Callithrix jacchus: one gene and its partner. The protein of the gene in region 1 interacts with the protein of each later gene in a pairwise test. Links are inferred from orthologs where the notes say so. Each region holds a gene or a part of one and is shown in the gene's direction. Other genes may lie near its edges.

Evidence for each region.
Region 2: the proteins of C7H1orf94 (region 1) and TBX6 interact in binary tests that used the Homo sapiens proteins (3 or more experiments, as listed by UniProt). The link is inferred for Callithrix jacchus from reciprocal best matches to the Homo sapiens genes C1orf94 and TBX6.

The regions. Positions count from the first base shown.
Region 1 is NC_133508.1:70,759,615-70,763,176, forward strand, and holds part of C7H1orf94 (uncharacterized protein C1orf94 homolog), read left to right. Parts: intron 1-515; coding exon 516-691; intron 692-3,562.
Region 2 is NC_133513.1:29,427,807-29,431,955, forward strand, and holds the start of TBX6 (T-box transcription factor TBX6), read left to right. Parts: upstream 1-1,287; 5' UTR 1,288-2,044; coding exon 2,045-2,162; intron 2,163-2,245; coding exon 2,246-2,480; intron 2,481-4,149. UniProt on the Homo sapiens protein: T-box transcription factor that plays an essential role in the determination of the fate of axial stem cells: neural vs mesodermal. Acts in part by down-regulating, a specific enhancer (N1) of SOX2, to inhibit neural development.

The DNA.
Region 1 (3,562 bases):
TAAAATATTTAATGTTTTAAAATATATTTTTTAATTCCCATATATAGATACAACAACCTGTGCAAGTTTCTTAGCATTGCCAAATATATATCCTTAGGGAGGGGCTGCTTTAATAATTTGATAAGGATGAATTCCAATGGCATAGCAATGGTTCATATAAAGTTGGATTTCTCTAAAGCAGTTGAAATAATTTCATTTTGTAAGTAGGTGAAATGCAGCCCTAGCAATCTGGTTTATTGTATTCCCTTGCTAAACTGCCTTCTTTATTAGTGAATGATGGAAAGAAAAGTTCCAAGCCAGACTTGCTGGGAATTTCATCCCTTCCAAATTGGCAAGGCATGAATTAATGATGTTTATCTATAGTTGGAAATGTACTAGAACTTTGAAGAACCCTCTTGGAGCTTAAGGGACCTGACCTGTGAGACTGAATCCCCAGGGAAGTTGCAATGTTGAAGGTGTCCTGGCCTCTCCCTGCCTCCATCCCTGACCCACTTTACCTCTCCTGTGACTTGCAGTTAACGCACCTGTGACGGTTGCTGACAAGAACATCCTGAAGCACACAGGGAATGTTTTCACTCCACACTTTGCTACAGCCTTGACCTCAGCAACCCTGAACCAGCCATTCTGGCTCAACCTGAACTATCCACCTCCACCAGTGTTCCCGAATCCCTCCACCTTCCTGCAGTATCAGGTCAGTGAGCGGGCCTGGCTCTCCTGTGGATATCCATGCTTTTTTTTTGGCCACAGAGGAGGTGTGGCTGGCAGGGGCCTATTTCACAAGGAGCCTCTAGACTCTTCTGAATGCCTTCCCTACATGGAAGAGGCTTCACAGGGGCTATGGTAGGACATTGTCAACTTGTCAGCTTGTCGGTTATTTTTTCACTGTAGTCGCATCAGACCTACCCCTCGGTTTAGGTGCGTGCATGCACACATCTACACACACATATGTATATAGAGTCCTAACTTTCTATTGTCTGAATTCCAGTCTACGCTGTGCCCTTCACTGACAGCCTTGTTTGGCTGGTTGTGGCTGGTTAAGTGCTTGGGCTCCCAGGAGAAGATGATATGGCAGTCCTTGTTTCCCACTTCCTTCCTGTGACTTCCTTTAAGGTTGGATGGCATATATCCTAGATTACTTGGGACATTCCCGATTTTGGTCTTCTGTTCCAAAATAATATTAATGGCATCCCTTTCACTCTCGTGTCCTGGTTTGGATAACAAATTACAGTCGGCCCTGTGTATCCATGGGTTCCACATCCTTAGATTCAACCAGTCTGGGTGGAAAATATTTTAAGAAGGAAATAATAAAAAACAACAATACAACAACAAAACATAATGCGAGTTAAAGATAATACAATGTAATAACTGTTCACATCATATTTACATTATTAGACATTGTTAGTAATCTAGAGATAAAAGGATACAGAAGCATTCGCATAAGCTACATGCAAATACTATGCCATTTTATATCAGGGACTAGAGCATCCTCATGTGCCTTTCTATTTTATTTGAGACAGAGTCTCACTCTGTCACCCAGGCTGGAGTGCAGTGGCACAATCTTGGCTCACTGCCATCTCTGCCTCCAAGGTTCAAGCGATTCTCCTACCTCAGCCTCCTGAGTAGCTGAGATTACAGACATGTGCACTACCATACCTGGATAATTTTTATATTTTTATTAGAGATGGGGTTTCACTATGTTGGCCAGGCTGGTCTCGAACTCCTGGCCTCATATGATCCATCTGGCTCAGCCTCCCAAAGAGCTGGGACTACAGGCGTGAGCCACGGCATCTGTCCCTCAAATGCCATTTTATACCGGAGACTTGAGCACCCTCAGATTTTGGTATCCACAGGGCGGAAGAGGGAGGGTGGCCTTAGAACCAATCTTCTGAGGATACCAAGGGATGAGTGTATATGGCCACCTTACTTAAACTACACCTAAGCAGTCTTAGCTTGTACGAACCAAAGTGACTTGGCACGCATTCTTGTTCTTGGACTCGTAGCTAAAGGAGAAAACTAGTGGCCAGACACAAAAGGATAGTAAAGCACCTCTAGCAGGGCTGGAAATTCTACTCACAGAACTTATTTATGCAGGGAAAATGTAGTTTCTTTATTTTGTCGATTTAACTTAATATCCCTTAAGAGCTACCACCCACTGGGTAGAAGGAGGGAAAAATTAAATAAATGTCCACTCTGGTTTAAGCCTTAGTCTAATCCAATAATTTAAATAGTCCCTTTAGGCAGGACTCAGTTTTTTCAGGAAAGATTCTCTGTGCCTAAGATTTCTGTCTTCTGTTCCCCTCACTGGCCTCTCTCCAGAATTGCATGTCGTTGTATGGGGGAAGGGCAGGAACTCAAACTTGTGCATCCGGGACCATGGCAATTTGCTGCCCCAGCCTGGCCCAGCACAGCCTGAAGTGAGAAAATAGAGAATGAAACACCTCTGACTCGGCCTGTCCTGTTGCTATGTTTTCCCCTCTCTCCACCCCTTGGAACCCTATGTCATTCTTTCCCTTATAACACAGCGCAAGCCTTATGTCCTATGGGGAAGGGGGATTGTCTCTTCTCCCATCAATGATAGACTGGACAAAGAAAATGTGGCACTGGCCGGGCGTGGTGGTTCATGCCTATAATCCAAGCACTTTGGAGGCCAAGGCAGATGGATCACCTGAGGTTGGGAGTTCAAGACCAGCCTGACCAATATGGTGAAACCCCATCTTTAAAAAAAAGAGGAAAACGAAAATGTGGCACATATACACCATGGAATACTACACGGCCATAAAATACAATGAGTTCATGTTCTTTGTAGGGACTTGGATGAATCTGGAAACCATCATTCCAGCAAACTGACACAAGAAAACCAAACACCCCATGTTCTCACTCACAGGCGGGTGTTGAACAATGAGAGCAAGTGGACTCAGGGAGAGGAGCATCACATACTGGGGACAGTTGGGGGGGCTAGGGGAGGGACAGCAGGGGGTGGGAAGGGTGAGTAGGGATAACATGGGGAGAAATGCCGGATATAGTATGTACTTATGCAACAACCCTGCATGACCTGCACATGTACCTCAGAACCTAAAGTAAAATAAAAAAATGAAAAAACAACTCTTCAAGCTGACCCGCCAGACTTAGCTCCTGAATCTTAAAAGAACTTAGCAAAGCCTCTCTGTTTTGTTTTCAAGCTTTTTGCTTGTATGTTTGCTAAAGAGAACAAGTACCTATCCCCTCCCCAGGGAGGGAGAGCTCATGCCTCATTGTGGAGGTGAGAGGTTGTGATGAAAGTGACCTAACAAGGAAGCCAAAATGAACTAGTTTCATTTTAGTAGTCTATTGTCCTTACACAGGTCTTGGAATGTCCTGTTCGGTGAGTCACTAACTCCTTTACCAACATGCTTCTACCCTTGCATTTTTGTTTGGTTATTCACTATTCATTTATTCACCTACTTGCGATTTACTCACTTCTATGTATTTATTTACTCATTCATTTAAGTAATTTTGAAAATCTTTGCTCCCTACACCTGCTAGAAGCTGAGCATTGTGCTAGAGGGATTCAAAGATGACTAAA
Region 2 (4,149 bases), on another chromosome or scaffold:
TTTTAGTAGAGACAGGGTTTCTCCATGTTGGTCAGGCTGGTCTCGAACTCCCAACCTCAGGTGATCTGCCTGCCTTGGCCTCCCAAAGTGTTGGGATTACAAGCATGAGCCACCGTACCCAGCCTGGCCTGCCTATATTTTAATACTTTATTTTTATTAAACCCTCTGCTGTCCAAAATGGCCATGAAGCCACCAGTTTGCAAACTCTGAACTGTGAAATCTTTTAGCCACTTCCCTGTCTTCTCTATTGGAGCCATCATTAGTACTTAAAAAGTACCTTCGAGTCAGGAAGTTCTGTTCTACGTATGAGAAACACAGCCATGCCCCTCTGGTCCACAGTTTCCTCATATGTAAAATGGGGCCACTCATGTCCACTCCCCAACCCTGTGCCTTGTGGTGAGACTGTTGCTCCCGGGATGACAGTCCCACCCCTCCTTTTAGGAACAGGCCTTTGAGAGCAGCCAGAAGTACAAAGAGGGGAAGTACATCATTGAACTCAACCACATGATCAAAGACAACGGCTGGGACTGACCCCAGCTCCTCGACGCATGTGGTTCCAGACCGGCCTGGCCGCCAGGGAGCGCCACCGGCTTCCCTCTGCCCGAAGGGAGCTCTGGACCCTCAGGGCCCCTGCAGAGGACGAATCCGGCTCCTGTACATATATTTTATTGCATGCACTGTGACCTTGGGGGGAGATCAGAAGGGGGACGACGCCCCCACACCTCCTGCGATCTGGCTGGCTTGGATCTCGTTTTTTACCCCTTCCTGCCCCGCCTGCCCTATAGATATGGCCTGTGTGCTGCTCCCCTGGCCCCAGTGCACCGTCTGCTCTGTGAACTTCTCCTCCCACCAGGCCCCTCTTACCCCACGCGTGTCTGCCCCCCTCGTTCTGTAGCGTTTGTACATAATAAAACAATGGAGTGGAGACAGCCCAGGCTCGCGTGCACTCCGGGAAGGGGGAATTCAAGCGGAGATTTCTGCCCCTATAGACCTGTGCGGTCTGAGCCCCAGCGGGGAATGGGGTAGGTACGGCCGTCCAAGCTGGGGCTCCAGGAACCGGGACGGTCTCACTGTCGGCGAAGGTCCTGAGCCCACACTGGCTGCCTACGCCTTGACCATGTTTGGTCTGCGTCTGCTCGGTTGCAGCTTTTGGCCTCCGCCTAGGGTCAGCGACCCCGGGAGGCAACCGCGTCCCCGACCCAGCAGACCCTCGCGGCCGGACTACAACTTCCAGCGGCCCCCGCGTGGTCCGTCCGGCTCCTTCGGGCGCTGGGCCTGCCGGGAAGTGTGGTTCCGAGGGTTCCTCAGAGCGGGACCTTCTGGGAAACCCTGGCGCGAGGCGTCAGAAGCTATCAGACTGTTTGCGCCTCTGAACTTTTGAGGCTTGGCCCAGGGTGGAGTTTTTTATTTTTTTAGCATGGGGACCAGGGAAGACTCCGGGACTAGGGCCTCGGCTGCGGCCTCCTCGCGGCCCCGAGATCCCTGTGAAATCAGTTCAGGCCGCGTCCCTCCAGCCTGCAGTTTCCTTCTGGTCATGCTGCTTCCCTCCAGGGCCTGTCCTCCAAGTGAGGGAGGACGGAGGGCGGTCACCTGCCAGAAGGTCTGGGGCGCGAAGGTGTGCCTCGGGACTCCAGCCTCCGTCCAGGTTCCAGGCCCCGCCCCCCAGCTTATCCTTAGGCTGGGCTCCCCACCGTGGGAACGGGGACCAGCTGGCCGGAAGCGCCAAACTGCGTCCCTGTCCGAGCCCGGGGGATCAATCAGGCCGAGGAGTTAATTATGTAATGAGGGGGCAGGGGGTCGAGGCTAATGAAGCCGCCCGGGGTGGGGAGGGAGTGGAGGAGGGAACCGTACCCAGGTATCCGGCCCCCTCTCGGACCCCTTCGAGGCCCCAGGGGTCTCCACCCCAGCCCAACTCCAGGGCCCCAAAGAGGGGAGGGGCTGTGATCCTAGGTCTGGAAGGGGCTGAGCTGTGAGCTATAAAGGGGGCATCTCACAGCACCGGGGGCTCTAGGCGGCGGGACCTGAGGCCAGACGGAACTACAACATGTACCATCCACGAGAGTTGTACCCGTCCCTGGGGGCCGGCTACCGCTTGGGGCCCCCCCAACCCGGGGCAGACTCCAGCTTCCCACCTGCCCTAGCTGAGGGCTACCGCTACCCTGGTGAGCGTTGGGACCAGCTCCTGGGTAGGAGAATGGGGGCACTGTGGCCCTCAGCTGGTTCCTCATTTTTCCCCGACTTCCAGACCTGGATACCCCCAAACTGGATTGCTTCCTCTCCGGGATGGAGGCTGCTCCCCGCACCCTGGCCGCTCCCCCACCTCTGCCCCTTCTGCCCCCTGCCATGGGCACAGAGCCGGCCCCATCAGCTCCAGAGGCCCTCCATTCCCTCCCTGGGGTCAGCCTCATCCTGGAGAACCGGGAGCTATGGAAGGAGTTCAGCTCTGTGGGAACAGAAATGATCATCACCAAAGCTGGGAGGTGAGGGGCTAGCCAGGGTCCGTGTTTCTGGTGGGGGGGTCTCTTGGGAAAGGCAGAGTCCCTGGGGAGGGGGATAGGTCTGGGAGGTTCTCTAAGGGGGTAGAGCTCTGCCTAGGCTTAGAATCTATGGCCTGGGGGTAGGGGGTACTCTGTGGTTGGAATCAGGAGTCATTCTGTGACAAGGGTCAAGGGTCAGTCTGTGGAGTCTGTGGCTGAGTTTAGGGACCAATCTATGGCAAGAGTCATAGGTCAGTCTGGGGCAGGGTCAGGAAGTCCCGCTGGCTTATAGGTTAGTGTGTGGCCTAGATCAGCGTTCAGACAAGGACAGGGGGTCAAGGGCCAGCCCAGTGACCAGCATCAGGGAAGTCTGGCGATTTGAGTAGGAGTCAGTATGTCGAGGTTCAGTGTCAGTATGCGCCTTGAATAGGAGTCAGTATATGACTAGGTTCAGGATCACCCTAAAGGCAGGGATGTGGTCAGTGTGTAGCCTGAGTCGAGATCTTCATCTAGGGCAGGAGCTCAAGCCCTAGCACGGGAAATCCTCAGCCTTACTGCAGGCAGCATATTTTTTCTGAAGGAAGTTCATATAAAAGCTGCAGATTCTGGTGTTGGAGTCAGGGGAGGAGAGGAGGGTGGGGACACGAAGCTCCTGGCAACATTTCAGGGAGAAAAGTTAGTCACCCCTGCTTCTGTAAATAGGCTTTGAAGGGTAGGAATCATGGCTGTCCCTAACCTGCCGTGTGACAGATCACCTAACCCATCTGTCCTGTTTCCCCAAATGTAAAATGAGAAAGAAAACCTTCCAGCTCTAAGATTCTGCCCTCTGGGTTCTTTTTTCCTTTATTATTATTACTATTTTTTTGAGACTGTTGCCCAGGCTGGAGTGCAGTGGCGTGATCTCTGCTCACCCCAACCTCCGCTTCCAGGGTTCAAGCGATTCTCCTGCCTTAGCCTCCCAAGTAGCTGGGATTACAGGCGCATGTCACCATGTCCAGCTAATATTTGTATTTTTAGTAGAGAGGGGTTTCACCATATTGGCCAGGCTGGTCTGAAACTTTTGACCTCTTGATCCTCTCACTTTGGCCTCCCAAAGTGCTGGGATTATAGGCATGAACCACCACACCTAGACCTTTTTTCATTTTTTAGAGACAGATCTTGCCTTGTTTCCCAGGCTGGAGTGCAGTGGTGCAATCATGGCTCACTGTAATCTTGACCTCCCAGACTCAAGTGACCCTCCTGCCTCAGTCTCTAGAGGAGCTGGGACTATCAGTGTGCACCACAGTGCCTAATTTTTTAATTTTTTGAGGCCGGGTGCAGTGGCTCACGCCTGTAATCCCAGCACTTTGGGAGGCCGAGGAGGGTGGATTACGAGGTCAAGAGATCGAGATTATCCTGGTCAACATGGTGAAATCCCATCTCTACTAAAAATACAAAAAATTAGCTGGGCACGGTGGCGCGTACCTGTAATCCCAGCTACTCAGGAGGCTGAGGCAGGAGAATTGCCTGAACCCAGGAGGCGGAGGTTGCGTTGAGCCGAGATCGTGCCATTGCACTCCAGCCTGGGTAACAAGAAGGAAACTCCGTCTCAAAAAAAAAAAAAAATTTAGAGATGGGGTCTCACTATGTTGCCCAGGCCGGTCTTGAACTCCTGGGCTAAGAGATCCTCCCA